Linked DNA regions of Oreochromis niloticus. The main gene of each other region encodes a partner of the protein of the gene in region 4 in a complex. Links are inferred from orthologs where the notes say so. Each region holds a gene or a part of one and is shown on either strand. Other genes may lie near its edges. The genes, in order: drc3, fbxl13, drc5 and ccdc135.

Region 1 (7,801 bases), on a different chromosome or scaffold from region 4:
TGCAAGAAAGTGCCATAAATATAGCCAAACGGAAGAGTAATCTTTGTAAGAAGAGGTTTGGATGAAGTCTTGGGTCCGTAATCATGAGACTACCATTCTATTTCATTTTCACAACGCTGCAGTTTCCAGCTGTCACGGTAAACCCAAACATGCTATAAAATTTTGCCAAACACATGCTCCTCCAAAGCCTCCAACTCTAGTAAATTAACTGAAAAGAGCCAAGAAGTCAGTTGGGAAGTGGAAAGCCGAGATCTCAGAGGGAAAGCCACACTGACTGACAGTGAGTGATCCAGCTGTGCACTCAGTTTTAACTATTACAACATCCAAAAAAACAGAAGTTCCAATGACCTGCTCTCGCCTTCACACTCCACCCTTCCACTTAATAGCATTTTGGCTACAAGGAGGAAATAAGGGAAGCCAGACTGTGAAAGCTGACAAAGATGAACTGGCTCTGCAGTCATCACTGCTCCCCGCTCCATCTCCTTCTTCCTCAGCGGCCTTCCAAATCCATCCATCATGTCTGTGGAAGCTGCCGTTTTATAGAAACACAGAGACTTAGAGCAAAATTTTTAAAAAAGAAAAAAGGTTCTACTGAAGCAAAGTACGATACAGGTTCTGACTGCATAGATCGTCATTAGATGAGTCCTGAGTGTAGACAGGAGATGTTCCTCTGCGGGAAGCTCAGAGGCCCTCAGCAGGATGTCATGCCAGAGCCAGGGGTAACACAGGGCCATGCAACCACTGGACATGCCTCAAAACCATGACTTATTCATGCTTTAACTCCCCTCTCAAATCAACGTTTCACAGGCTGGGCAGCTTCAACAAACCCTTCTACAAAAATAAAAAGGCATGCAGTGAATTCAAACATGAATACCACTTAAAACACCTCTGAGTCCACCTTCTGAGTCTACAGCATCCAGAGCATGAGTTTGAAAGATTTAACCAGCTACTTCCTCTGGGATAACCCATGTAATCTCCTCAAGTGGATTGTCATGTTGTGGCAGGGCAAAGCACGGGCAGCAGAGGATAGAAGGAAGGGATGCCCCCCCTAAAACTCTGATCTATTCGTGTGACACACACTGTAAGGACACTGAACATGAGCCTACTAATGGAGTTAAATGCCTGCTAAGTGCATTAATTCACGGTGTTGTGTCAAAGCCCCCACCCCGGCCCTGAGAACTGACACCACACAAGTGAAGCCAGTCGATCACATGGCTTTAACAGAGGCAAGCTGTGCCATGCACTTGGCAACAAAGCCACAAAGTCCTTCTCTGGTTACAATGTGAACTTTTAAGACTCTTCTTTAATTCCTGCCTTTCGTTGTCTCCACTCTCACATATTTGCTATTTGTCCCATGCGTTTGTCTTGATATTATTTGATTGATTTCCTCTCATACACGTGCCCCGGTCATAGTAACAGCTGCCAAAGGTTGGTTGTCTTTATTAAATATGGACACAAATTGTGGTAATGCATCGGGCTCTTACAGCAATTAGATTTACCACACATCTCCACTGTCAGGCTTGAACTCTCACGTTCCCTTTGTGTCTGGTAAGATGATACTTTGCCCCTCCACTGAGGTGTACAGATCACTACCGCTGAAAATGACAGCTGGGTGTCAAGCCCCAAACAATGCAGCAACTCAACCGGAGAGATCTGGCAGGAGACACGGCCAATTCTGTGATGGAAGAGGGGGTGGGGGTCCAAGACATGCTGCATGCAAAAACAAAAATGCATCTGGTTCTGCCCAGTCGAGAGCTTGATTAAAGCACTATATGGCTCTGCAGAAAGTAAAAACATGAATAATTCTGACACTTAACCAAAAATACAGCAACTGTTGCATTTGGTCAAAGGCAAGCACAAACAAACACTGGGAGAAATTAAAAGTCTGGCACACATCTGTTTTGCAGGAGTTTGCCAAAGCATTAACTCTATTTCACAAAAACGGCGAAAAAAAGTAAAGTTCAATGTACCTACGTCACCTACAGTACACTCCTATTTTCACATTCTTCAAGTAAACATAAATTCTTATCTTTATACTTCATAAAACAGCTGTTATCAGTAGCCGGCTCATTGGCAGTTATAAAGACATGGTCAGGCCTTGATACCAACTATTATGAATCTCAGCTTGTGTTGAAAAACAAATCGGAAAATGCAAATATTGATGCAACCACACCAAAGGGATGCTGCAGCTCACGTATATATCTCCCCTGGGGAGAAAAAGCACCACACAGTATCGAGATTGGAGGGGAAAAACCTCCAGGCTGACCGCACAGTTTGGTCAACTATTGTTCAGAAACTAAGGAAATATGGAAGTTATCTGGGTCTCTCTTGAAGACACTTTAAGTCATGTCAATACAATAGCGTCAATTTCAGTTAACCTGATTTGTTCTTCTTAAGCTGCAATCAGTGCCTACACATATGCATGGTTATTTAACTTAATGCATTTCTTGTGATTACACCGGACTAAGTTATGGGTTAGCTGGCTAACATTAGCTGAGAGCCCATTCCAGGCAGATGACGTTTGCTACGATGACACCCGTTAGCTCGCTATTTCCACCTTTGAGCCCAGTAGTAAACAACATATGATGGCCCACATTCAAAGTACGTGAGGTGAAGGAAGCAGCAAGCCTTTAAAAAATAATTTCAGGTCTAACGTACCTATACACTGGCCCACGGGAGTACTGTACGGATTTCCAAGTAAGAACTCCATCTTGACAACAAACGATCCGCCCGGGAATGACAGGCTTCGGCCCAGAGGCAGTACTATCAAGTCCCGCCTACCAAGGAATTCTATTGGTTCAAAAAGTTCGACACGTACAGAGATCTTTGGACACGTATGGCTACAATCGATGTCAGTCACAGTTAGTAACTGAAGCTATGTTCAACAAACCTTTTCTACGTGCATGTATTTTATTCATTAAAGAGGGGAATAATAACTCTAAACAGCTAATAAAAAACAATGCAGACAAGGATTAAATCCTTGAAATATAAAAATTGAATGTTCATATTTGTTGACTATATATAGCTCATATCTTGAAAAAGCCACCTACCCCCCCAAAAAATACGCAAAATGTGTGATCCCAAGTAAACACAATTTCGACTTGTGGTGCTTTTACGAATATAAGAGATACATGCACATTACAAGTAAGTAAGTAAGTAAAGTTTATTTATATAGCACCTTTCACGGACATATGTCACAAAGTGCTTTACAAGGTAAAAACATAATACAGTCATAAAATACATCATAAAAACCCTGGTCTAATTAAAAGCTTTTTGAAATAAAAATGCCTTTAGCTGCTTTTTGAAGGTCTCCACTGAGTCCAAACCCCGTAGAAATAGGGGAAGTGCATTCCACAGTCTGGGTGCAACGGCTTGGAAAGATCGGTCCCCTCGGGTTTTAAAACGAGTGTGGGGGACCACTAAAAGGTTTTGGTTTGATGACCTCAGGTTACGAGTGGAGGTATGTGTACGAATCAAATCAGCAATGTGGGGGGGGCTTTCTCTGTAATGCTCTTAAAGTTAAAACTAGAATTTTAAAATGGAACCTGAATCTGATTGGTAGCCAGTGCAGCGACTTTAAAACAGGGGTCATATGAGCACCCTTGTTCGAGCAGGTCAGTAGCCTCGCTGCAGAGTTTTGAACAACCTGTAGGCGGGCTAGCCCTTTCATGTTTAGACCAGTTAACAGGCTGTTACAGTAGTCAAGTCTTGTAGAGATAAAAGCATGTATTATCATCTCGAGTTCACTTGTTGACACGATGGATCTAAGTTTAGAAATGTTCCTCAAGTGAAAAAAGCAGGTTCTTACAATCTGATTTAACTGTCCCTCCAAAGAAAAAGCTTCATCAAAAATAACACCCTGGTTTCTAAGGTTATGTTTCTGTGAGGAACCTAGGTCACCCAGTCGCCGTTTAATATCGGGTATTGCACTGCCTGGTGCAATAATCAGTTTCTGTTTTGGCCGGGTTTAACTGTAAGCAATTATTGTTCAACCATTGTTTAATGTTGGTTAAACAGTCAATCAGATTGGAGAGCTTATGAGCTTCAGCAGGCTTAAAAGAATAATATAGCTGAATATCGTCAGCAAAAAGATGATAAGATACTTCAGGAAACTGCTGTATTATCTGACTTAAAGGAAGAATGTATATTAAAAACAGAATAGGTCCCAGCACAGAGCCCTGAGGAACTCCACACAACAACTCTGTAGATTCCAACATGATCTGGTTTGCAGACACACTAAAACTCCTTTCAGATATATAAGATGAAGACCAGTCTAGAACAGAGCCAGACATCCCAACCAGGTCTCTCAGTCTGTTTATCAGGATGGTATGGTTGACTGTATCAAAGGCTGAGGTAAGGTCTAACAAGACTAGGACTGTGTATTCTCCGGAGTCTGCTGACATCATAATATCATTAATAACTTTCAGTAGTGCTGTCTCAGTGGAATGCAATTTACGGAACCCAGATTGACAACGGTCATGGATGTTATATTTCTCCAAGTATGCCGTAAGGTGGACAGCTACTGCCTTCTCAAGGAGTTTTGACATAAATGGGAGTTTGGAGATAGGTCTTAAATTTTGAAGTAGTGTTGGGTCCAGGTTGGGTTTTTTGAGCCTTGGTTCCACAATGGCATGTTTAAAAAAGCTGGGGCACAAGATAACATCAGACTTAAAAGACAGGATTTATAGTTAAAGCAAAACTCTTACAAAGTCCTGTCTCAGATTGATGCTTTTTTCAACGGGATCAAGTACTTGAATGCAGCTTAAAATGAACCTGTTGCTATGTAACTGAGCGTAAACAACAGAGGTAAGTAGCGGCATACTGAGTTTATCGATAACACCAGCTGATTTTCTGTATTTTTAAGCATTTTGCGGTGACAAAAACAGCAGTAGGTAGGTTTGGCTTTGGCTAAATTCAGGTATTTATATCTTAGAGAGCCAATGACGGTGTTTGGCAGTATATTCAAAGCAATACTCTCAAATATGCATACAGTGATGTGGAAAAGCATTTACCCCCTACCTGGTTTCTTAAGTTCTGTTTGTTTTTAATGACATATTTTTCTTTTCTTTTTTTTTATCAGAGTGTAAAGTGATGCCAAGTCTGTCTCCGGTCTCTAAACAGCAGCATGAGCTCGGAATATATTATCTCTGAGCCCACGTCGATGGATAAAGAGATCCTGCAGCATGCTGTGCAGGAGCTGTTTAATCCAGATCACGTCCTGCGTTTTCCAGATGCGAGCCAAATCCACTTTAATGAAGTCCAGAAATTAAGTCTGGAGTACAAAAGTGAGGGGAAAATCATGAAGGTGATGAGGAATGTAGCAATGTTTAGCATGCTGATTTTGCTTGAGTGAGATGATGTTTTTTTAATATATTTTCAGACATCCTGAAGATTGACCACTTATGGGACTTCTCATCTTTGTCCAAACTTGAGTTAAATAACAACACTATAGAGAAGATCCAGGGACTGGACCATCTGATTAATCTGACGTGGCTTAGTAAGATACAAAGTTTGTTCTTGTTGACCAAATGATGTGTAGGCACTGCCATCTTATATCAGCTCAGAAACTACTGGTAATGATGAGAGTAATTTCGAATGTGTCCCTCAGATCTGTCATTCAACAAGATTGAGAAAATAGAGGGTCTGGAGTGTGTGCAGAAGCTTGAAGTGCTGAATCTATCCAACAACAAAATCTCTGTCATTGAAAATATGGACACACTTGAGAACCTAACTCATTTCTTCATTTCAAACAACCTAATTGGACAGTTGGATAATGTAAGAAACTTTTCTGCATTTGCAATGAAAGTATGAGGAAACATTCATGTGTTACTGTTTAATTAACCTAATGCATTTCAAAGGTGCTCTACCTCAGGAAGTTCAAGAACCTGGCAGCAGTCAACCTGTTTGGAAATCCTTTCCTAAACGAGGGTGATTACAGATTTTTCATCGCTGCCTACTTTCCAAAGTTGATGTTCCTAGACTCCAGAATACTTGACCAGAAGACAGTAAGTGCAAACCCAATCTACGTTTTGTTCTACGCTTACCTTTAAAGTAGCATTTACATACATATTTACAGAGTATGAGTATACCCAAGCCTAGGACATGTATGAGGACAGTGAGACAGTGGTGAGGTGTGTAGAAGGAGTGACAAATGAGTTCAAGGTGGGGATGGGATTACACCTGAGCCCCTTTTTGTTTGCAGTGGTGATGGACAGGTTGACTACACTGTTTGCACATGAAAATGTGATCCATAGTGAGAGTAGGGAACAGGTGAAAGAGAGTCTGGAGAAATGGAGGTGTGCTCTAGAGAGAAGAAGGAAGGTCAGTAGAAGCAAAACGGAGTATATGTGTGAATGAGAGGGAGACAGATGTAACAGTAAAGCTGACTGTACCCAAGCTTGTTTGAAAGTCATCCTCATGTGCATTTATGAATTGCTGGTTGATGCAGAGTAACTACATTTTATTTCTGTGTATGTACAGAGAAAGGAAGCATCTATCAAATATCACTATGTCCTTGAGAAAATGAGACTTGAAGAGCTGGAGCTACACCAGGCTGATGAGGCTCGACAAAGACACGAAGCTGAGCTAAAATTACATCGAGTACTATCTTTTTTTTGTGAGTCATCTGTTGATTTGTATACATACAGTCTGACACTTATGTTTTCTTTTTTGTTGTTTCTTGTGCAGGATGCCTTTGTGGAGTTCCTTAATGGCTCTTCTCTGTTTAAGAACATGTTTAAAGATGATCCAAAAGCACAAACACTGCACTGTGCGCCAGGAGTGGATTCTCTGATTCAAACATATCTTTTATCATCCTGGTTTCCTAATCCGTGCGTGCATTGTTATTATTGTCATAGTACAGGCCAAACCAATCATTCCTTTTGGTTCCTTGACCTTGCACTTACATTTGAGCACCAAATGGGGGAGCTGTGTACACAGTTATTTGAAATGGGCTTGGCTGAGCACAAACGAAGGGAGACGGAGGTGAAGTCTTTCTTCAGTTGCCAAGAAAAGGCTGTGACAGACTGCCAGGAGAAGGCATCGCAGATGTTAGCAAAGTTTAATCATGAACACAAAGAGGCAAGCAAGGAGCAATCCCCTTTTCCATGTGCACAGTGATTTACATGAATGCAATGACTCAGCATGAGATGATCTCTTGTGTTTTCTCCTTTAAAGAGGACAGAAGAGTTTCAGCAGTTATCAGACCCAGAGGTACGCAAAGTGAAGATTGACCACTGCAATGATGAAATTAACCGGCTCTGTAAAAACCTCATGACACTGGAGTTTCAGCTGGTCAGCGAGATGGAGGTTAGTGTATGCTAGAGATTGTACACCTTGTATAATTTGTAAAATATCCCAATGAAATCTCATGAAATTTCTTACTTTATAAATAATGTTAAAATACTTGATATGTCATGAGATTCCATGTCTGTGTTTCACATTTAATCACAGTGATGCTGCTTGGTCATTTCAGGAGAAGATCAAAACTTTTGACAGCAGCGTCTCAGACATGGTTAGACACTTCAGTGAAACCGCACAGGGGATATATCCTTTTTTTTTTTTTTACAGGAAAGCAACAGAATTGCTTCAAAAACATTCTAAAAACACTCATTAATGTATGCTAATAATTATATAGTCATGAGCACTGCGACACACTGGTGACCTGTCCAGCACACCCTGCAACCTTGAATTGGATAAGCAGAAGAAAGTGGTTGATTAACTCACCAGCGTGTCATAGCATTTGATGGGCTTTAATCAATCAGATGTATTCCTGTGTGAGAGATTTCTTTAACAAAACCAT
Region 2 (6,960 bases), on a different chromosome or scaffold from region 4:
ATTTAAAGTAAAACCATTTTAACAGCATCATAAATTAATCACAAGAAGTAATCTCTAAATGCAGACCTGACTCCACAACACGCCAGACTGGATGATAGATTTCCATGTGCAGCATACTTCAGCACAGTTTAGCAGTTCTTGTAATTCTAAGTACTGAAAGATCTGAGGATTAAAATCACAAATCATCTTTTTTTTTTTATCACATGGAAAAACAGCAGACAAATGACACTTGACTTTTCTCTGAATACTTAAAGGGAGTTACAGTAAAACTCTGGTTTATCATGTTGTTGCCATGAGGTGATGAAATATTACAGTTAGGTTTCTAAACTTTAACCAAACATTGAAGCATATTTAAAATAAAAACAATATTTTTGATAATACACAAATGTGGACATAGGATTTAGACACCATTTTTTGTATAAATACAACTTCCTCGCTTTTTGTTTGATGTTATTGGCCCTCTGACAGGGTCTGCTGGCACCTCTGCCCATATTTGTGGCTGCAGATGTGAACAAGCACCCAAAGCCAAACATAGTCATGCTGAAACACTGTTCATCGACCGAGGACAGAAGCAAATTCCACACAAACAGATGCTTCAACTGGTGAGTGGAGTCAGTGTTGGCGAGTGGCTATATTATATATATATATGCATACATGGACTCACAGGTCAGTTTATTAGGTACACCTTGCTTATACCCCTTTTTGCCTACAAGATATCCTTAATGGTGGAAATGTCTCATTTCGTTACATCCCAAAAGATGCTGCACAGTGGACTCATCTCAAACTGGTTTCATGAACATGATGATGTGAACTTTGTGTGTTGTCCTATTGGAAGCAGCTATCAAAAGATGGGTACACTGTGGTCATACAGGGACAGTGAGCAACAATACCCAGGTAGGCTGTGGCGTTTAAACTGTGCTGATTTAGTACAGAGAGTGTACCAAGCAGCAGCAGCCCGAGCAGTCAGTGTTGCAGAATAAATTGAGACTCAGAGCAGCCAATGGCTGTGCAAATTGTAGCCTCTGATCCCTATTGCCAGCTTACAGATGTGGCACCTGATCATCTGCTGCAAGGATCCATGTGTTGTGCATTCAGAGATGCTTTTCTGCTTAACTTGGTTTTGATGAGTGGTTGTTTGAGATACTCCTGCCTTCCTATCAGCTCAAAACAGTCTGGCCAGTTTCCTCTGACCTCTGGCATGAACAAAACATTTTCTTTTCCCCCACAGAGAACTGCCACACACTGGATATTTTCTCTTCTTTGGACCTTTTGCTGTAAACCTTAGAGATGATTGCGTGGGAAAATTGCAGTGCATGAGCAGTTCATGAAATGCTCAGACTATCCTGTGTGGCACCATAAACATACCAGTCATTTAAATGGCCTTTCTTCCCCAGTCTGATGCTCGGTTTGAATTTTAGCCCTGACCACGTCTACATGTCTAAATGCACTGAGTTGCTGCCATGCGAGATATTTGCATTAACAGATAGTTGAACATGTGTACCTAATGAAGTGGCCTGTAAGTGTATATACACACGCACACTCTGGTATGTATTTAGATTAAAGGAAAATGATCTGCAAGTGACTTTAACCAAATACCCTCAAAGAGAGTGGACTGTATGTTTACAGTGGAGTCTATTTAAAGAGTTATGTAACTGATATCTGAGCTCATCGCTGACTGCTCAGAGAACAAGGGGCTGTTGCAGCCTAAAAAAACCAAAAAACCAAAAACAGACTAGCCATCATCTTTCTGTGTACAAACTCCAGGCTAAATACAAAGAAAACTGAGACAAGAATGCTGCTCGCTGTAAGAGAATCTACCTTCAGTAAGAGGCTGTTTGGGAGCACAGAGAGTGCATCACATCCTTTTTCACTCTGCTGATGCTTGTTGTCCATTTCAGTAAATCCCACTTGTAACATCAGGGGAAAATTCACACACACACACACACACACACACACACACACACACACACACACACACACAAAAGATAAAAAGTGTTAATTCAGTTTTGAAGTAGTCTCCTGTCCCTTTCAAGTCCTATCTTTACACCATGGAGCAGTGATACACTTAAGGCTGAGGCATCTAGCTTTTAAAGGGGCCTCCAGTTTCTCAGTGAGAGCTGGAGTGTTCATTCATTTTAACTTAGGAAAATATACATTTCTGCACAAAAGTATTGACTCCAACCAACCAATCCAATCAATCATAAATCCAAAGATAATTTTGGTTTATGACAACTGAGTTAAGAATATAAGTAAAAAGGTGCACAGGGACAAAATGAGTCATGGCAGTGGGAGGATACAACGTGGGAGCATGACTTTTAGTCTGGCAAATTTCTTAACCTCAGTGAGTGTTTTCTCTGGCTTTGTACAGGAGGGAGCGAGAAAAAAAAACAGCCAACAGACCTCAGTATAAATTCTTCAGGAAAAAAAAACCCTAAAATGTTGACCTACCAGCTTTCATCCTCTTGTGTAATTTGACCCAGCTCAGCAGTTTGGTAAGTGCAACCTGCCAGCATTTCCTCTCAAAATGCTTTTTTGTCAAGTCCATCTGCAGAGTCAACTCCAGGGTATCTCTCTTGCTCTGTGCAATGAACCTCTTCCACTTCCTGTCACCCAACAAGAAACAGCTCATCATTAATTCAGCAAACAGGGAGGCAGGCTGTCAGGAGCCAGGCTTAACTAACAAAGGATGGGAATCAAGTAACAAAAAAATAATAATTTATCTAATTTATAAAACAGTTTATTATGATTATAAAGCTAAAGCTGGACTGACAAAGACTGACCGAGTGAAACAGAACACCCTGATAACATTACTTATTAACAGTAAGAGAAAGTCTTTAGGTTCTCTGAAGCTGAGTTACTGTTTCGCAGTAAAAATACAACCAGATCAAATTCACCGTGCACCACCAGTTTGAGGACCTACAAGAACTAACTCAGCAGCAGCTGCTTTCAATAACTTCGATTGCAATCAGTGGAAGCAGAATGTGAGAAAGTTTTGTGTCCCCTCTGACATCTTTCCTGCCACTGTGGCTTCACTCAGAGCATGAGTGATTATTTTGCTGGTTTGTAGCTTTAATCATTATTCTGCTGCAGGTAGAGTCTGTGGTTGAGCTCAACCTCATGGCTCGTTCATTCAGGTAAATAAAAATGTCATTTTATTCTCAGTTCTTTTATATTTTTAGTATTTTAGTCTCTTTTTTTCTTTTCAGGCTCTCCTGGCTTTGCACTCTGTTGTGGAGCTGCTTGTGCTTTCCTCCTGAAGAAGGTAAGAATTTCAGTACTTTTATTTGCATAACCGACCACAAGTTTAATGTGATGTTTCTTTCCTGATAGGTTACAGTAGTGCACATGGCTACTATCTCTATGAGAGCCCGCAAACCTCTAGCAGATTTCATTCTGGACAGTCTTTGAATACAAACAATGAGAATGTTGGACGGCAAAGCTTTGTTTCCCGTCAGCCAGAAGCATTTACTTATGATAAAGGACAGGATGCTACCGCTGAGATGAAGCAAAGCCAGCCTGATAAGTTTCACGGGGCCTCTTCTGCTCCTCTTATAGAGCAAAATGAGCAGTCTGGTTATCACCATCCCTTTGACCTTTTAGTGAGGGGAAACATGCAGGAGCCTGTGAAGGGTGTCGCTTTCCCCACAATGAGTCATTTAAAGGAGTTTATAGAAAACATGAAGCATTCCTTCTTAGTACCAGGAAGTGACTTGAGTAGACATTTTGAAACTGCACGGGAAAAAATGAAAACTCTCGGAACATCCATGGACTATAGACCAACTCCTGAAAAAGGAGGCACTGCCTCTGGTGACAGCAAGAAAAATAATGATCGGATTGAAGAAGATGCCAACTACCAAACGCCAAATAAACTCCTCTCTTTCCCTGATCCTGTCGACTCCTCTGCAAGTCTCATTTCTTCCAGTGTTTATGACAACCAAAAATTTAGGCCGGGCACCACTTTCTACCCACACGATCATTTAGCAGCCACAGGTCTTGCTTCAAGAAATTTGGCACACGGTTTTCCCTGGGGAAACAATGACTTATCTGTGAGTGTGGATTCAGAACAATACAAACCACCAAAAAAAACACAATTTCCCTCCAGCTCCTTTCACAGGCAGGGTTCTTCCTATAGTAAACATGTGACTGCACCCCCTGTGAACCCTGCAAACAGCCCATCTCAAGATTTCAGCCAGTATTCAAGTGAGACCTCAAATTTAACACCTTATTGGAAGGATATGCTAAATCCAGTACATGTCTCTCAAAGTAGAGATCCTTTAATGAGGTACTGGAGACCACCCAGTGGCTTTGAACTCACTAAAGACTTCCACAGAGCAAGTCAAACTAATGTCCCATCTGCAAAAATCCTACCATCTGTATATTCCTATGGTAAAAAGCATCACCCCTCCATGCAGCATTATTGGCCCAAATACAAGACAAGAATAGGTGCTTCAGTCCAGGCACGTCAACCTACTGAGAGCAAAGAGTTGAGGACTGTAAAATATGCTCCCAACGTCCACTGGCCTCCATCAAGTGGTTCTGTCTCTTTAAGCTTTAATGACCCCTTACCCCAGTGGAGAAGAGGTCACATGGGTTATCAAAGCAGCCCACAATACCCGCAAATTCCTCATTATAAGCAAAAACAGATGGACAGAGCTCACTGGATGTTTACCGCCAAACCCTTGAGTTTTGTTCCCGGATACCACAAAGTCAGTGCTGTTCCCTTCGTCCTAAATGCCCATGCAAAACATGAGAATTCAAACCTCTACAATCAAAAACTCCTATCTACCTTTCAGAAACCGCATTACAATAGATTGAGAAATCCACCCCAGAGTGGGCTCGCATCTTATGGAGTAAGAAACCCACTGGGCTCATTTTCTAAACCACAGAGGCAAACTGTGAGGTCTGAACGTTTACAGCCTTTCATGCAACCAAACAGGCACATGCCTCGAGCCAGTGTGAGTAGACGGCCCAGACACTTGGCCAACTGGCGTTCTGAACAGCAGCCTAAACCTACAGGTTTGATGCCTAAGTGTGTTATTAAGAGGAACACAAAAAGCCTTCCTCCTCAAGAGTCCCGTAATACATCTCCATCATCTCTAAATCCATACGTTAAATCTAAAAACCGCTTCACACGGGCCGTAGCATATCTGTCAAAGGTCTGTTTCACACCCCGTATGGTGCAAGGGAAGAATAATAACAATCAGTGGAGACTGGTAAGAAGATGGCGTGAATGAAAGGACATGACAACTCAGTGTGCAGGACCGGGAAGAATGATGAACATGTTTTTGAAGGTATGAAAACCAAAATGTTGTAGTATTTTTGTCTGTGAACACATCTTCTGTCCTGGAAATCTGTCCTTTAAATAGACAACAGAGCATCGCACTACTGAGTAAATACTAAAACTGAGCACTGAAACTGGACCAACCTTATTCAACTTACTAATGATTTAAAAAAAATTCAATTTAATTTTATTTAGATGGCCACACAACAACATCTGCCTTGAGGTGCTTTACACTGTAACATTAAGACCCTGCAATAATACAGAGAAAACCCCAACAATCAGACGACCACATTTTGAGCGAGCATTTGGAGACAGTGGAAAGGGAAAAACTCCCTTTAAACAGGAAGAAAGCTCCAGCAGAACCGGTCTCAGGGAGGGGTGGCCATCTGCTCCAACTGCGGGTGAGAGAGGGAAGACGGGACAAAAGACACGCTGTGGGAGACAGCCAGAGATAGATAAATAATAATTAAATGCAAAATGGTGTATAAACACAGTGAATGAAGAAGTGCAGCCTAGGCCTGTTGCAGTGCAACTAAGGGAGGATTCAGAGTCACCTGATCAGGCCCTAACTATATGCTTTATCAAAAAAGAAAGTTTTAATCCTAATCTTAACAGTAGTCGGTGTGTCTGTCTCTTGAATATAAACTCAGAGCTGGCTCCACAGATGAGGGAGCTTTTTATTTACCTGAAGGCTTGATTTCATAAGCATATTGACCACTAATACTAAAACTACTGTTGCAGACTTTCTCTTAGATATTGCAAAGTTTCTCCAGGATCACGTGAGCCGGTACAGCTTCAGAATATAAGACATTGGATGTAAAATGCATTAAAGTAGTGCAGGTGACTCTGATCGTGAAATCGAGCTTTTAGGTCCACTGAATCCAATTCGTCCAATGAATGCTTTACTTTTCCAATGTCTGGATTTTATTTGCAGGTAACATTACTGACAAGTGGTCTATGTACATAGAAGTATTCGTAATCTTAATGGCCATTCTCTAAAACCTAAAAACTGAAAAACTTAGATTTAATTTAATAGGATTGGTCTTCAGCAGCAAATCCATTTCCTGTTCTTCTACCTACATCGACTATTTCAGTAAGAACCTGAAAGTGTTACAATTTTGACTTGTCTTGATTGCCACATTTGATGGTAGTCCTCATTTTAAATCATCATTGTAAGGATAAAAACAGTTTGCTGGATATATTAGCAGTCCAGAATAAATTCTACAGTCTATATCCATCTAACTTTGTGGACAGAAAAGCAGCTGTAACTGTCTTATAGGTTGCATTTATTTTACAGTTGGCTTCATGTTGGAGATGATGTAAATACTGGTGTGAAGATCAGTCTGAACTGACTTTATGGTTCTAAAACAGGATTAAATATTTAAAATGAGTTTTTAAATCCAGGCTGTAGATGGTCTGATTATATTCTGTTTGTAATTTATACTGCAATATGTTCACAGTCAGACATCATTTTTAAACGAAAAATTGATTTCTGAAATGTGTAAATTGATATTGTTTTCCAAAAGCAATCAAGGTAATCTGATTTACAGGAGAACTACAGGTTTTTTGTTTTTGGTTTTTTTAATCCAGATTTGTTCATTTGCTTGCATCTGTATTTGGTTCACATCAGGCTGCAAGTAAATAACAAAACTTAAATGTGGTAAGATTCCTGCTTTATG
Region 3 (7,693 bases), on a different chromosome or scaffold from region 4:
ATGACAGTTCTGATGAAGATGAGGATTAGCCCCTTTTTCTCCTCTGGGCTGTAATATGGAATTAGACTTTTCTGCTGTTGAGTTTCGCCTTTCCGTGGAATGTTCCCGGGACATTTAGGATAGAGGATGCAAAGTTTGGTCCAGGCAGGTTTATGTTTAGTTGTTTTTGGTTTTTTTGTAAAATAATCATTTGTGTTGTCTTTATTTTCAACTAAATGAATAAAGTTTATTCATATGCATTTCAAGTCCAATTTCTGATTCCTTATATTTCAAGCAAACCTGGGAATTCAAACTTTTGTCAGTGCCACAGAAATCCTACTACAGGGTGGGCCATTTATAAATAAATAAATGGCCCACCCTGTAGTGGTGGGCCAAACCAAGCACACCATTGTTTTTCCTGTGACATTACCAATAAGTTTGATGTGTCACATGGCCCTCTTCCTATTGAAAAAACAAAAGTTGTATCCAAGATGGCCGACTTCTAAATGGCCACCAAGGTCACCACCCATCTTGAGGAGTTTGCCCCCTCACATATACTAATGTGCCACAAACAGGACTTTAATATCACCAACCATTCCTATTTTATTACGGTGTATCCATATAAATGGCCCACCCTGTAGAATGTTTTCTGGGATTCAGTACTAGCCATGCTTCATACTTTAACTATAGTGATTTGTCTTTTTATATGGTCCCACCAGCACTAAGGGTAATCCTCTAATTTTTCCTGAAGTATTTTGATTTGTCCATTATTGACCAAACACTTGCATATTTAGAGCTCAACCAACAGCTGCAGGTTTAGTGATAAATGTTTTACCTCTTTAACATTCACTGGCCCAGGTAACTAAAAATTCTGCTGTGTTTTGAAAGTCGACACCTTGGTGTTGAGTTACATTTGCAAACAGGCTCACAGTTCAAACAATGTGTTTAAACTGTGATTAAACAACAAATGTTTAAAGCTGGTACCACAGCAACATCAGTCCCTTAAGACCAAACAGCTATTTTGTTATCATAAGGGGGTAGATACAGGCAGAAAAAGGGGATCTAGTGGCTCTTTTATGCTTTGGAAAAGGGATGTTTAATTAGATTAGAATAGAATAGAATAGAATAGAATAGAAATATCCTTTATTGTCCCTCATTGGGGAAATTCAGGTGGCCCAGCAGCAAAGTGATAGGCAGATGGAGCATTCAGATTAAAAAAAAAACTATTCACAACATAATGACAAAAAAATACTGTGGAGTTATTAAGTTATTAAAAAAAATTCAATTATTAAAAACAGAAAAAGAAAAATCTGCAATTAGGAGGCCAACATCACAGCAAGAAGATCCTGGGTCCAAATCCATCTTGTATGGTCTCCCTGTGCCTGCCTGGCTTCTGCTTCCTCCCCGTCCAAAGAAATGCATGTTATGTTAATTGGCTGACTGTGAATGATTGTCTGTCTCTCTATGTTAGCCTTAGGATTGGCTGACAACCTATCAGGACCCTGCCTTTCAAGTGGGATAGGCTCCAGCCCCCTGTGACCCTGAATTGGATAAGCGGAAGAGAATGGGTATATACAGATGGCTATAAATCTCCTATGATGAAATATTTCTATGCTGATGGGCTGCAGCACAGTTTATAATGTGGTAATGCTGTAGTAGTAGCACTTCCCAGAGCTATTCTCATTTATTATAGACTGCCATGGTTTCTGGCTGTGAGTCAGGGATTAGAAGCCAGGAGAAGATGAACCCCAGTAAACTGAATCTTATATAGAAGTGTTGAGATCAAACATAGATCTCCTTCGTCAGCTTTGTTGGTTCAGTTTGTTTTTCCATTAATAGAAAAAGAGGTAAAAGCACATTAATGCTGGTTAACTAGCATAAATCCATTAAGCCTTTTCTTCTTCAGATGGAAACCATCCTCCTGGATTTAATAAGTTAACAAAACTAACAAGTCTCGGTGTGTTAGAAAAAACAAAGGCAAACATGTTTTTAAAACAACATACTGTCATTTGTTTTCTGTGGCTCCCTGCCTTCAATTCATTCCCTGAGTCACCTGGGAGTCGCCCTGCCTTGCAGACAGGCTGTGGAGCTGAGAGGCTTGCAGAAAACCCTGGCAGCATTCCACAGTTTACCTCAGCTCTCACTGCTTCAGCCTCATATAAACAAACAACTGAATGACTTCAAGTCTTAACATAGTGTGGGAATTTTCAGTAGCTTCGCATGATTCATAGTTGCTGAGATTATGTTTCTTTTTTTAAAATTAGGATGTTTACTTGGGCTGTTGAAGTGCACAGGGCGATATTTAAAGGGCACCACTTCCAAAAAGGCCCTATTGTCATCATGCCCCTTGACTATTAGAGCTGTCATCTGAAAAAGATCATGAGATCATGAGTTACTTCACAATGTTACACTTCTAAATCTACCAGCAGTGGGCGTCAGATTTAAAAATAGATTTCCATCTTGGAAAGAAGCACTTCATTTTGGTAAATCCTTCTATCTTTTAGTAATTAGACACACGCTCTGTTGCCTGGCAACTAATGCAACAGCTCCTTGGGATCTGAAAGAAAATGAAAGAGAGATGGCACCGGCTGCTCCGGTGCTAATGCACACAGTCCTCAGACTGCAGACAGGCAGCTTTGATCCTGTGTTAACTCCATGGCCTGGCTTCGGTTGAGGTCTTAATTGCACTATAATCACTGCATCTATCTAATGCTCCTGAACTAAATCACTTATTATCCCTGAGAAACAGCAATTATTCAGGAAGATGTATAAGCAAATATCCTGCCGCGCTGGACTATTTGTTAGGGGGAATAGGCCGATTCCGATGTAAATATTCACACATTCTTAAATTATTATTATTATATCTTAAAAATACAATACTTGCATTGCCCAATGCTTGGATGGTCAATGCATTACCAGAAAGTAGAACTAAAAGTACCCAGGCATGTTATTCTTTCTTTTCCTTCTTCTGATTCGATACCTCTGGCAAACAGTAGGGTTGAATAGCTGGTGGGTGGGGCTTCTGTGCTCATAGCCAGAACTGTGTCCATAAGATAAACATTAGGGATGCCACTCTTCACTGTCATCACAGAGCTAAGAGTTAAAAATAATAATAAAAAAAACGTACTTACAAAAGCCTAACTTGCTCATACACTCTTTACTGTTAATTTTGTCCTTGTTTATCACGATTTTAATAAATTATTGGAAATGTTTTTTGTTTTTCTCATTTCTCTTGTTTGCTTCATGCCAAAACATCAGAGATGCCACTCTGATCAGTAAACATGTGCACCTCTTATGTGGTGCAGTAACAACCCCTCCCTTCGAACACTGTGATTCACTCCACAGAGAGGACTGGGACAGCAGCCTACAGAGTGAGTTTGCCTTCTGTGCTGTGGATGCCTGATGTCATGCCAGTCCATTAAAGCCAGAGTACAAGGGACGCGTGTGTCTGTCAGACCACGTTACACGAGGACGACAGTGATGGACTGCCTCGGGGCTACAGTTGGAGCCTCTCGTTCCTCCATCCGAGCCGCCATCCGACTACTGGAAGCAACCTCACGATGCCAGTAACAGCTATCTAACTGTTACTCAGTCACGCTCTCTCTGCCCAAGCATATGGGGAGCAGAGTCAGGATTGCAGGATCATGTACCTGCTTTCATCCATGCTTGAATGTTACACAGCTGATGAAAGCTGATGAAGTCCACAACTGATTAATTCAAGGAACAAATTTATCCTGCATCTACTTGGTATTTGATTCGGGCACTTTAAAGCAAAGATTCACACAAATGTATGAAATTAAGTGTTACATCTTTCCAATGCATCAATGCAGCGAGGCTACACACTCTCGTTCCTTCTTTACAATGCTACAATGCTTTTCAGACTATGAAAAAATGCTCTAAGTGTAATTTGCGGGTTATGTGATAACAGTGGTGTCAAGTTCAAACGTCTCATTCTCTCAGTGCAATTAGCTCCTACAGCTGACTCTAAAGTTTCTGACTCCATCTCTATCCATGTAAAATAACTTGGCTTTAAATGATGTTTTGCTTAATAACAACCATGAGTTTCTTAAGGTGGTATTTACAGATTTCTCACCTCCTACACAGTAGCCGAGCACCTGTTTTGTGTTGCTTGTGAGACAGATGGATCCACTCCAGTGTGCTCTTTTCCAAAAGGCCCATGGTCCAGACCCAAGGTCCATCTGGCAGTTTGGTGGCATCTGAATGTGTTTCACAGCATGATCACTGCTTCCTCAGATGCAAACCTAAACACAAAGCACTCGTTTCTCTGTGAAAATAAAGCTGTAGTTGTATAAATACTGGATGTTATTTAAACATGCGATCTGTTCCAGGTAGCTTTGATTCCCAAATTAAGCAACTTATGATTGTATTCTTCTTCTCTTTCTACAGCTCATTGTTATTATTATTAATATTAGTAGTAGTAGTGGTAGTAGTAATACTATAGCTTGTCATTTTCTGTGTTGTGTATTTAAGAAAAACTGTTTCATTCAATGAAGCTCGGAAATTTGTTTTCCCGAACACTGGTGACTCACAAAAATGAAAATGATTTCCATGTGAAATGAAATGTGTACATCCATGTGTCTTACTAAATTTTGTATTTATTTTTTGTCCCCTAAACACAGCAGTAAACAGTATAAACATGTTTATACGTACATCGAGGTATCGGTCAACATTCAGAGTAAAAACTCAAATTTCCCAGAGACGTTAAAGTAAACTCACTGCGTTCCGTTCCCATGGGAACAGATGAACCCTAAACCAGTACTGCAGGTATGTTAGCATGTATACGACAAGGATTAGGCTGTGTATATCTAACTAAATGACATAAAATAAATATTAAATAGCTGAAGAAGTTTTTATTCGATAGCTATAACAATGGTGGGACTACATGCTCTTAAGCTAACTATGTAAGATACCTTATTGGCCAGAAGCTAGCAACTTCTGCCCAACTTCAAAAGCGACTCAATAGCCCAATAGCTGAGCTAGTTAGACTCACCACATAACCACAGTTGAAAATATAATATCTGTCTATGAAGGAAACTTTAAATGTGTGATTTATTTATTGACTTATTCATTTTTATTATTCATTATTTATTTATTTAGTCCACTTCTGGCACTTATTTTGTAAAATTATTGTAATAACTTTATTCGAACATTGTTAGGAAATAAAAACTGCACGTAATCGCAAAATGTAATCAAAGTAAGGTTCTAAAACGCTGTTTTTTAGTTGAATTTAAACTAAGCTGATGCAGTTTATAAATTATTATTTCATTTATTAAGGGGAAAAAGCTATTTGAACCTACCTGCCCTGCCTGCCACCCCGTTTGTTAAATTATTATTTTAACCACATTTTCAGAAAGCTGAGTTCAATTTTCTATCCACACCCAGGACTGATCACTGCAGTGATCAGTGTAGTAGACTAAAAGACCACAAAAAGTAACACACCATGCCATGATTGAAAAAAGCAGTTGAGAAACCAAGTCATTGAGATCTATCAGTCAATGACAAAGCAATTTCTAAGGCTTTGGGACTCCAACAAACCACGGTGAGAGCCATTATCCACAAATAGACAAAACTCGGAATGGCGATGAACCTTCCCAGGAGTTGCCGGCATAGCAAAGTTACTCCAAGAGGACAGTGATGACTCATTCTGGGCAAAATGGCACCCATGGGAGAGTTCCAAGGAGAAAACCCCCGCTAACCAAAAACGACACAAAGGCTCGTCTCACGTTTGCCAAAAAATACCTTGATGATCCCCAAGACTTTTGGGAAAATATTCATCTAAAATTTTGGCCCAGATTTATCCACACTGATGTGAAAGACTCATTGCCAGTCACTGCAAATGCTTTGTTACAGCTCTTGCTTCCAAGGGTTGCATAACCAGGTATTAGATTTAAGGGACAAATACTTTTTCACATCGCCAGGCTATTTGTAAGGTGATGGGCCAGATAGATTTAAATAGCTTTTTCCCATAATAAATGAAATGATCATTTAAAAACTGCATTTTGTATTTACTCGGGCTATCTTTGTCTAATGTTAAACTTAGTTTGACGTTCCGAAATATGTAAATGTGACAAATATGCAAAAAAGTTAGAAATAAGGAAGGGGGCAAATACAGCACTGTACTTTCCCCATACACTTCACTTAAGGATTTTTTAAGTGTCATAACTCTATATTATAATGCCTCTCTTTATCCTCCAGGGCTAATCTTAACCAAAGTGAAGATTGCAGTAAGATGAGGAGGATCATTGCTGAAGATCTAGACTGGTCACTGGCTACAGTGTCTAGTTTGTCAAACCTCTGTCTCCAGTGCATAGTGAACAACTTTGAAGGTGGTTTTTAGTATTGTTATTATCCAAAAGTTTACAATCTCACTTGTAATAAAGCTGGAACTTAATTGCAAAATGTATACCTGTTACAGAAAAGCCAATATATGAAGAGCTTACATCCAGTGAGAAGGACTTCATTCAGAACAGAGTGTCCCTTTCCCTGCCTCTGCATTTTGCAGCCAATGTTTTCCCAGATGGCGTTTATTGGAAGCGACGCTGTGAGCAGAAGTGGAAAGTTTGTGATGTCTCTAATTACGGCGAAAGCTGGAAACGAATGTTTTTTGAAAGGCAGCTGGAGAACATCATTGAACTTTTTGTTCCAGGCATAACAGAGCCAAAGACAGTTCTAGACATGGTCACGCTTTGTAAAGACCACATCAAGAAGCTAAACATCGCTCAGCTTCTGCCACCTGTCAAGGAGCCGCAGACGGAGGATGAGGAGCAAGCAACAGAGCTGACACTTGAAAATGAGGATGATAAATCTGGTATGGACCACTTTGACTTTAGGATCTTGCTTGACAAGCTTACAAACCTGGAAGAGCTGCACTTGGTGTACAAAGTCAAATCATGTGGTATGAACTTTGAATGGAGCATGTTTGAGATGACCAACCGAGACTGTGAGTCCCTCGCCAAGGCACTTAAGTCCTGTAAGACATTAAAGGTAAGTATTGCATTAAATTACATAGTACTCATTCCAGATATCCTATCTGAAAAAATCTCCCGCCCGACTTCGTGCAGAAATATATCCCCATTCTATGTACGTTTTTTCCATTTACACAAGCCCTCAAATAACAGGAGTGGGATTGGGTTGAAATTTGGTACCTTATTTTTTTCCAGCATTTTGATCCTGCTGGATAGCTGCAGGATATTTTTGGAACAAAGAAGCTCAAAAAGCTGCAGCAAAAAAATCGGTTTTAAAACCCAGGTCACTCAGGAGTCAAAATCTACTCATTGCTCAATCCAGTTGTTTTTCTGTGACCAACTTTGAGCATCAAAATTAAAGAATATGTCAAAAGTTCTGCAGAAAAAACTGCAAAAATGTATTTTGTGTAATATTGTAATATTTTAATACTTGCTGCGGTTCTGGCTGCGGGGGGGCAGAAGTCTTAGCAGAGACGCCCGGAGCTCATCTGGGCGGACACCAAGGCATTCTTAAGCAGGCCAAGAGATGTAATCTCCCATGTGAGTAATGGGTCTGCCCTGGCACCTTCTTCTACTAGTGCACACCCAAATCCCTCACCTGCATCCATTAGGTATCCTAATCAGATGACAGAAGCCCCTGACCTGGGAAGAGTAGCAGCTCAACTTAGAGTCCCTCCTGAATGACCAAGCTCTATCTATTTCATATTCCAATACTGATGCTCAAAGTT
Region 4 (7,132 bases):
CTTTAATAAAATGATCAGCGTTGCTGCTTTACCAGGTGTAACAATAAAGTTTAACATCCAGGCATCCATGAAAACAGAATTTATTAAATTTAATGGAGTTAGAAGTTAGCAGGAAGTTAGCTCGCTAGCTTCCAACTAAACATGATATAGCATGTTCTGACTGAGAGATTTCTGAAAAAACGCTCTTTAGTTCTGTCCACCAGTTCATAGGTCTTGGAGGTGGATATGTGAAGACTTACCAAAGTGACAGAAATGTAACATTCCAGCCTCCCCTTCAGTTTGCATATTGGGCGACTTAGATGATGTCACTAAAGAGTCCACATTCCTCTCACCACCCTATGCATTGCCAAGAAGACTGTCCACAAGAACTGGAAAAATAAAAATAATCCTAATTCTAACCAATACAGAGACAGTCTGATAGATCATATTAGTGTTGGTACAGCCTGTGCCACCACATTAGACCAATCTTTCTGGCCTGCTTTGATTGGCTCTATCAACTAGTGGGGCTGGGGGCTCCTGGTTTTGTCCCACCTATATATCATTGTAGGTGATGGAGTACGGACGGGGTACTCACTTGGGGTGTTTGGGGGTTCCCTGAGGGTTGGGTTTCTTGTCCGCTCGACCCAGGGGCTGTGGTCATGACCTGGATGGGGCTCTGGTGACTGTGAGCGGCAAGGCTGGGGGGCTCTGTGCCTGTGGACATAGATTAGCGACCTAGTAGCCATGCTGGTCCTGGGTTGGTCTAGGGTGGGCTTGGGGACTTGGGTTCTGGGGGTGTTCCACCTCTGGGTTTGAGTCCTGGTTGGTGTGTTGCTGAGGTTGTGGATGGGTGCATACACAGGGGCCCCGCCCTGGTGCTGGGGGCCTCTGGTGCATCGGTGAAACTGGGGGCCTCTTTAGCTGGCAGGAGGTTTTTAACATCCTTTGCAGGCGGTCTCTGCTCCTGAGGATTCCGCTCTGCAGGTATGTTAATCCCCCCCCCCCAATCTTTTCCTCCCCACCTCCATCCCAACTCCTCCCGCTTCATCACACCACCACACATACAGGACCCCTCCTGGCCACCTGTGCCTCAATTTTATTCCACAACTTAGACACTCACATTACTTACACTCTCATGACACATACATATAAGACCTTGGGAGTGGGCACACTGTCCAGAAGACAGTCTGTTTATACACTCTCACATCTGGTGCCAGTCCCCACCTCTCAATTTTAAATACATGTAGACATTGAGGGTTCTCGGGAGGGGCTTTGCTGACACCAGCTGTTGTCTGGCAGAAGGTAGTTGGCGCCAAGCCCCTCCCATGTTTTAACTACACTTTAGAATAGCACGCATCAAAACCACATATGAGCAGGCAGAGTGAGGTATGAAGTCTTCTCATATGCTGTACGTCGTCTGGGCCAGTGGGCTGGGAGGAGCTGGCCGTCTGTTTGGGGTCTGGGCTGGGGGGCTTCCCTGCTGCTGCAGGACCAGGGGCAGTCTGCTTGTCTCCACCGCAGAGTAAAGGGAACCATCTTCTGGGTCTGGGGCCGATTAGCAGTCTGGCGGTGATGGTGCCTGGACCTGGGGATACAGAGTATGTATGGGGGAGTGTGAGTGCGTGTACTGCGTTCAGTTCTGTGTGTCTCCATGTTGGGCGAATGTGTGAGTATTTGTAAATGTGTGCATGAGGGTGGGAATGCATGTTTGTGTGTGCTCCTGTTTGTCTATGTGTCTGTGTCAGGTCGGGTCTTAGACTCCACCTCTCTCAGAACATCTCAGGCCCACCCAGGTGTGGGGGCCTCTCTCCCTGGACCGCACTCCCTGCCAGTGGCTGGTGCCTTCACCCAACGGTGCATTTTTGGTTCTCAGTGTCCGGTACTGTGTCTCGGATGTGTACTGACTCACTGTTTGGTGGGCCTGGCCCCCTGGCTCTGTCAGACCCTTTCCGGGGTTTGGAGGGTGCTAAGGTCTCTGGGCCCAGGGCTCGGTCTGCGTAGCTCTGCCTAGCTAGCTGCAGGTGGGGCCTGCGGTCTTGTTGCTGCAGCCCCCTGTGGCTGCTGGGTGACTCCGGTCCGGGGCTCTCCTCAGCTTTTTTTTCAGGCAGGTGGCGTGATTGCCTTTCTGGTGGTCCTCCTTGGCCTCTCATGGTCTGGGGGGCCTCTGGATGTCTGGGGCCCTGATCTCCTTTATGGCTGCTTCATGTCCTGGGGGGTAGGGCTATGGCTCTCCACCACACACACTATTAGACAATTACACGGACAAACCTTATGAATACATAAGTGCGCTCACACACACACACTCACAGACTCTACTGCTGCTCCCCCTATGTTCCATGTTCATTATTAGTCCTGTATGCTACATCCTCTTCTAATCTTCTGTTCACTTTGACAATGCCTCGAGTAAATAACAATTAATCGTTATCTGCAAAGAATTTTATAGTCCTCTTCTTTTCTCCAGTTTCTTTCATGGCATGGCCATTACCCAATTTTAACATCCAATCACCTATTGTGCTGTGAAATCACCTGATGCGAGCCATATCTTGTTGTTCTCTTGCCCCTCACCTTATCTCTGTAGACAAAGTTACTTTATCACAGTAGTCACATTTATTCAACATAATTAACTTCAGTTTGCATAATTTCAACATTTCTTGTCATCTCAATTAGAAACACATTGTTTTTGTCACAAACTGGAAAGGTGAGTGAAGTTTGGACCCAAGGGCAGACTTAATTGCACAAACTATTTACAAGATTTATTTACAGGAGTAATCAACTTAAACAAGAGCACGTATATTAACAGAAACTATGAACAGGTGTCGTGGGAAACCAGGGGATGGAGAAAGGTTCTGGCACTCATAACACAAGGAGAGCATGGGCAGGAACTTCTGCAACAGAGGAGAGAAGTATCACTGGACTGGGAAACGAGTGAGCGGGTTGAACTCAGTAGTACTTGTGGAGGGTATGTGCTTACTTGTAGATGCAGGCCGGCTGGCATAGGAGGGGTAGCTGTGAGAGTGTCCAGGGGATGGCGGAGTATGCAGGTGAGATGGATCCAAGTTCCAAGGGGTCTAGAGGAAAGATATATCCACAATTGAGATGACGGGCAGGAGGGCAGGCCGAGGAGCAGGTGAGTGTGAAATCGTTTGTCTGCAGGTAGACTGGAGAACTGGGTGGAAGTGGGACCAGCGGTGCTGATAAGCACGACAGAAGATGGATCTGTAGAGAACTGGAGACGGAAAACACATTAATCCAAAAACAGCATGAATCACGAACACAAGGATGTCTGAGTTACCACCAATGGTAGCAGGACGAACTGGTGGAGAGTGGCAGGCAGCGGTGGTTTAAAAACCCTCCAGATGATGGTCCAGAAATTAGGAGAAGGTGATGTGCTGACAAAACGCCACCTCAGGGGACGAGCAACTGGAACTGGTCTCACACCCAATCAGACACTCCCACGGCACAGTTTCCCTTGATCATTCCATATACTTTTCATTTCTGATTACTTTCTCTAAGAATTTGCTTTTTCTTGTGTCTCTTTTTAACTCAGTATGTGAACTTTAGTATTTATCGATCACAGTTCAAAAGTTAGTTACTCAAAAATGACTTATTCTGTTTTTTTCAGCACAATAAGATCAAAAACTTTTCTGTTTCTCTGTCTTTTTGTCTGCTCCACATTCCTCACTCACAGGCACTTTGTAAGTTTTGATTAGATTTCAGATTTGATGATAAATTCAATTACAGCAGGAACATCTAACATCCAAAGCACATAGATTAAACTCTGTCACTCTCTGCTACATTACACCCACCAAAGCTGGGTTTTAGGCCTTTTCCTTCACCTCTGGTTGGAGCTGAGCCGAGGGATCTCAGTCTCGTTGACACTTTCAAAAAGTATGCAGGTTCAAAGGGCAATAGCTTCACTCTCCAGGCCTAGTACACCATCTATGGGCACACATGTTCATCTTCATAGTGTACTTTTATATAATTAAAGGGAGGATTCTGGAGGGGTATTTTCATGCGATACCTTGACTGGTCTGCCTCACTTCAGATCAAATTGGGCCAGGAAACAGAATAAATTTGGCATCCCTGTTTCAAAGCGCGTCTGAAGTGTGTTCTGTATGAATCCTATTAACTCCGAGGGTAAGTGAATGCAGCATACCTTCACGTCGTGACGTGTTGCTGTTACCATGGACATGAGGCAACGACAACGCTTACGAATGTGAAGCAGCTAAAAACAGTTAACGGAGCCCGGGTGAGTAAAAGTTTAACCAGTTTTCAAAGAGTTTGTTTAAGTGTCGCTCGCTTTAGTTTGATAGCACGTTAAAAAGCACGTTTTAAACGAGGTTAGTTACAGGTCTGTATGTGGGACAGCAGACGTGGTTACTACAGGGAACAAAAACTGAACTGAAATAGAAGTAGATGTGAAATTTAAAGAAATGAATAAAAAAAACTTAAAGTAAACTCATAAAATACTGAAAGTACTAAAACTGATATAAACTAAACTCTAAACGACATTTTAAAAAGAGAAAAAATGGAATACATGCATAACGGTTTGTGAGGAAGAGGACTCCCTTACTATGATTATTTATATTATCTGTATAGCATTGTGAGCACACCTTTCACTTTATTAAAAGCACCTTATCAAGCACTTTATTTAGCATCGCACTTTAAGCATGGATTTGCACAGTAAAACATTTGCACACAAGAAGTTTAATTATATTTATTGGGAATTTTAAAATCAGCTGGCAGCCTCGTTTCAGGTCCTACACAGGTCCTCAATCACCAAAGTGGATGGTTGCAGGAACCAACAGGTCCGTCGGGTTCTTGTCTCCCCAGAAACACTTCCCTTGTGCTTTTGGAAATCAGTTTTTTCCTATTTCTGTTGTGTTTTCGTTTTGTGTTTCGTTTTGTGTGCTTTTGCAGCGTTTTTCTTATTGCTGGTGTTTTCTTAAGTTGCAGTCTGTTTGGCCTCTCAGGGCCACCGTAGTATTGTATTCAAAGTTTTCTTACATTTTGAATGGTAGATGAGGTGTTATCCAGCTCAATACACACTACTTATTTCTAGAGCAGAAATCTGAGATTTAAAAGTTGTGTTTAAGTTTGTTGACAGTGTCAGATAGTCAGATGTTTTTACTGAAGAATTTTCAGCCTCATTTTTTTGAACCAATAAGAAAATACTGACAACAAGATCTAATTTGATTGTATTATTTTATTTAGTAAAATTGTCTACATGTGTGTGCTTTTCTGATGTTTTTCCGTGTGTGTGTTTATGTGTAAACTTCAGGCGCACATAAACACAATTAACCTTAATCCAGTAGGATCGCCAGAGGAGCACAGCACTGATGGAGATGGAGGACGTTTCTGCTTCTGAGAAGCTTCTGTAAGTTTTTTTACACTCATAGACAAACTACATACACACAGGGATGAAGAAAATACACGAAAAGAAAAAAGTTCGTTGTTACCAACTCTACAAAACGCCTTTAAAAGACATTAAAGACAGACAAGACTGTCACAGAGGTTCTGCAGGAGGTTTCTTCCTGTTAAAAGGGAGTTTTTCCTTCCCACTGTCACCAAAGCATTTGCTCACAGAGAGTCATGTGATTGTTGGGTTTTCTCTGTTTCTCTTGATTATCCCTTTAAAACCTGTAACATGAAATAATTGACAGAAAAATCAATCTTATTTAAAATGGAGGCTTTATTTTTGTTTGAAAAAGTAATTAAATTTTAATTTCCATGTATGATTTTTCATTTGCATTTTATTTTCTACATCTGTCCTTGTTTTAAAAATTGCTTTAAAATCTATTCTACAATTTATTTAGATTTTTCTGAGGGAAAAAGTCCCACTGATGATGTAGAAGCTCAAAAAGCATTGTAGGGTAAAGCTGGTGGCTTTGAGGTCATCTTCACGTCTTCACCTGTTCTCCTTCTTCAGCCCCGAGTCCTACAGGAGCAACTCTCCAGAAGAGATTCGACTGTTAGCCATCGCAGAAAACTTCCAGCGTCAGTACTCGCACTTGTGTCCTGACCGCAAACCGCTGCTGCTCTGTCCTGTAAACGAATGTGGAGTAAAGGTAGGTTTATCTCACTCAACCTTTTTCTCTCTGAAGAACAGATCCCATTGGACCTTCACATCTGCAAACACCCTAAATACTTTCTGCATCGCCGTCTGTCTCTTCTCATATTCAGAAGTTTGTGTCGACGTCTCTTCGTCCAACGTCGACCATCCACTGTGAACTGTTCGAGTGGCAGGGCTGTGCCTCTTTTGTGGCCGACTTCCTGTCGTTGGTCCCTCTGGATCCGCCCGTGGAGCTGGTCAGAAAGGAAACAGCAGACAAATGTTTATTTGAGTCTTAGGAGCAAACAAAGTATTTTTTGTAATCAGTGGTTGAGAGTTAAAGCATATGTTAGAGAGAACTTCTTTTATTCTGCTGTTTCTGTTTTGTGAAACCATAATTTTCATAATTCAGATAATTATTGCATATAATGTAATTCTAATATAAGAAATGCTCGTGTTTAGCTGCACATTAACTGCGTGTCATCCTGTCGTGTCTGTATGCAGTATTTTCAAACCTCACATGACCAACAACTGTATATATTATTCTATTCTATTTTATTCTATTGTATATAGTATTTTATTTTATTTTATTTTATTGTATTTTATTGCATTCCAGTGTTTTCTAATTTCTGCTACATAACTTTGCACTTTTGCTGTAACAAAACAAATTTCCCACCTGTGGGACTAATAAAGGCCATCTTATCTTATCTTATCTTATCTTAACTGATGATGTCACACTCAGAGATGATGTGAAAATGTGTTTCTGAGAAGCTGATATATATATATACAGTCATTGTCCCGAACATGTTTCAGCTTTTCAAGATGGTGGATGAGAAAAGAAACAAGACTGCAGCACATAATCACATTCACATCAATAAATACACACATGCGTGCACCTTCTCTCGGTGTGTCTGATTGTGGCGGTGTGCGTCTCTCCCGTTGCAGCCAAAGGTCCTTTCCTCTCCCAACGCGGTGCTGCAGAGTCAGAAAGCCACGTGTTTTGAGTATGCCACTCTGCTGTGCAGCCTGCTGCTCGGCGAAGACTACGACGCCTACTGCGTCAGCGGCTACGCCGTCAAAGAGATGTGTCTGCTCAATCAG

The links.
Region 1: ccdc135 (region 4) and drc3 share a complex: the UniProt entries of both Homo sapiens proteins name them as parts of the nexin-dynein regulatory complex. The link is inferred for Oreochromis niloticus from reciprocal best matches to the Homo sapiens genes DRC7 and DRC3.
Region 2: ccdc135 (region 4) and fbxl13 share a complex: the UniProt entries of both Homo sapiens proteins name them as parts of the nexin-dynein regulatory complex. The link is inferred for Oreochromis niloticus from reciprocal best matches to the Homo sapiens genes DRC7 and FBXL13.
Region 3: ccdc135 (region 4) and drc5 share a complex: the UniProt entries of both Homo sapiens proteins name them as parts of the nexin-dynein regulatory complex. The link is inferred for Oreochromis niloticus from reciprocal best matches to the Homo sapiens genes DRC7 and DRC5.

What each region holds. Positions count from the first base shown.
Region 1 is NC_031969.2:18,075,986-18,083,786, forward strand, and holds the start of drc3 (dynein regulatory complex subunit 3), read left to right. Parts: upstream 1-4,795; 5' UTR 4,796-4,806; intron 4,807-4,815; exon of another isoform or gene 4,816-4,892; intron 4,893-5,080; 5' UTR 5,081-5,125; coding exon 5,126-5,285; exon of another isoform or gene 5,286-5,305; intron 5,306-5,380; coding exon 5,381-5,497; intron 5,498-5,608; coding exon 5,609-5,775; intron 5,776-5,858; coding exon 5,859-6,005; intron 6,006-6,480; coding exon 6,481-6,800; intron 6,801-6,905; coding exon 6,906-7,080; intron 7,081-7,176; coding exon 7,177-7,308; intron 7,309-7,474; coding exon 7,475-7,545; intron 7,546-7,801. Other genes in the region: tom1l2a (TOM1-like protein 2), read right to left, coding at 2,659-2,710. UniProt on the Homo sapiens protein: Component of the nexin-dynein regulatory complex (N-DRC) a key regulator of ciliary/flagellar motility which maintains the alignment and integrity of the distal axoneme and regulates microtubule sliding in motile axonemes.
Region 2 is NC_031972.2:56,431,172-56,438,131, forward strand, and holds the start of fbxl13 (dynein regulatory complex subunit 6), read right to left. Parts: upstream 3,016-6,960; 5' UTR 2,895-3,015; exon of another isoform or gene 2,781-2,894; intron 2,604-2,780; 5' UTR 2,546-2,603; coding exon 2,449-2,545; intron 1,908-2,448; coding exon 1,819-1,907; intron 163-1,818; coding exon 67-162; intron 1-66. Other genes in the region: uncharacterized protein LOC100695371, read left to right, coding at 3,118-3,134, 3,207-3,262, 3,331-5,234. UniProt on the Homo sapiens protein: Substrate-recognition component of the SCF (SKP1-CUL1-F-box protein)-type E3 ubiquitin ligase complex.
Region 3 is NC_031980.2:14,145,455-14,153,147, forward strand, and holds the start of drc5 (dynein regulatory complex subunit 5), read left to right. Parts: upstream 1-4,682; 5' UTR 4,683-4,764; intron 4,765-6,195; 5' UTR 6,196-6,229; coding exon 6,230-6,326; intron 6,327-6,415; coding exon 6,416-6,984; intron 6,985-7,693. Other genes in the region: E3 ubiquitin-protein ligase rnf8, read left to right, coding at 1-29. UniProt on the Homo sapiens protein: Component of the nexin-dynein regulatory complex (N-DRC) a key regulator of ciliary/flagellar motility which maintains the alignment and integrity of the distal axoneme and regulates microtubule sliding in motile axonemes.
Region 4 is NC_031984.2:2,435,238-2,442,369, reverse strand, and holds the start of ccdc135 (dynein regulatory complex subunit 7), read left to right. Parts: upstream 1-4,130; 5' UTR 4,131-4,228; intron 4,229-5,294; 5' UTR 5,295-5,318; coding exon 5,319-5,356; intron 5,357-5,908; coding exon 5,909-6,047; intron 6,048-6,162; coding exon 6,163-6,288; intron 6,289-6,976; coding exon 6,977-7,132. UniProt on the Homo sapiens protein: Component of the nexin-dynein regulatory complex (N-DRC) a key regulator of ciliary/flagellar motility which maintains the alignment and integrity of the distal axoneme and regulates microtubule sliding in motile axonemes.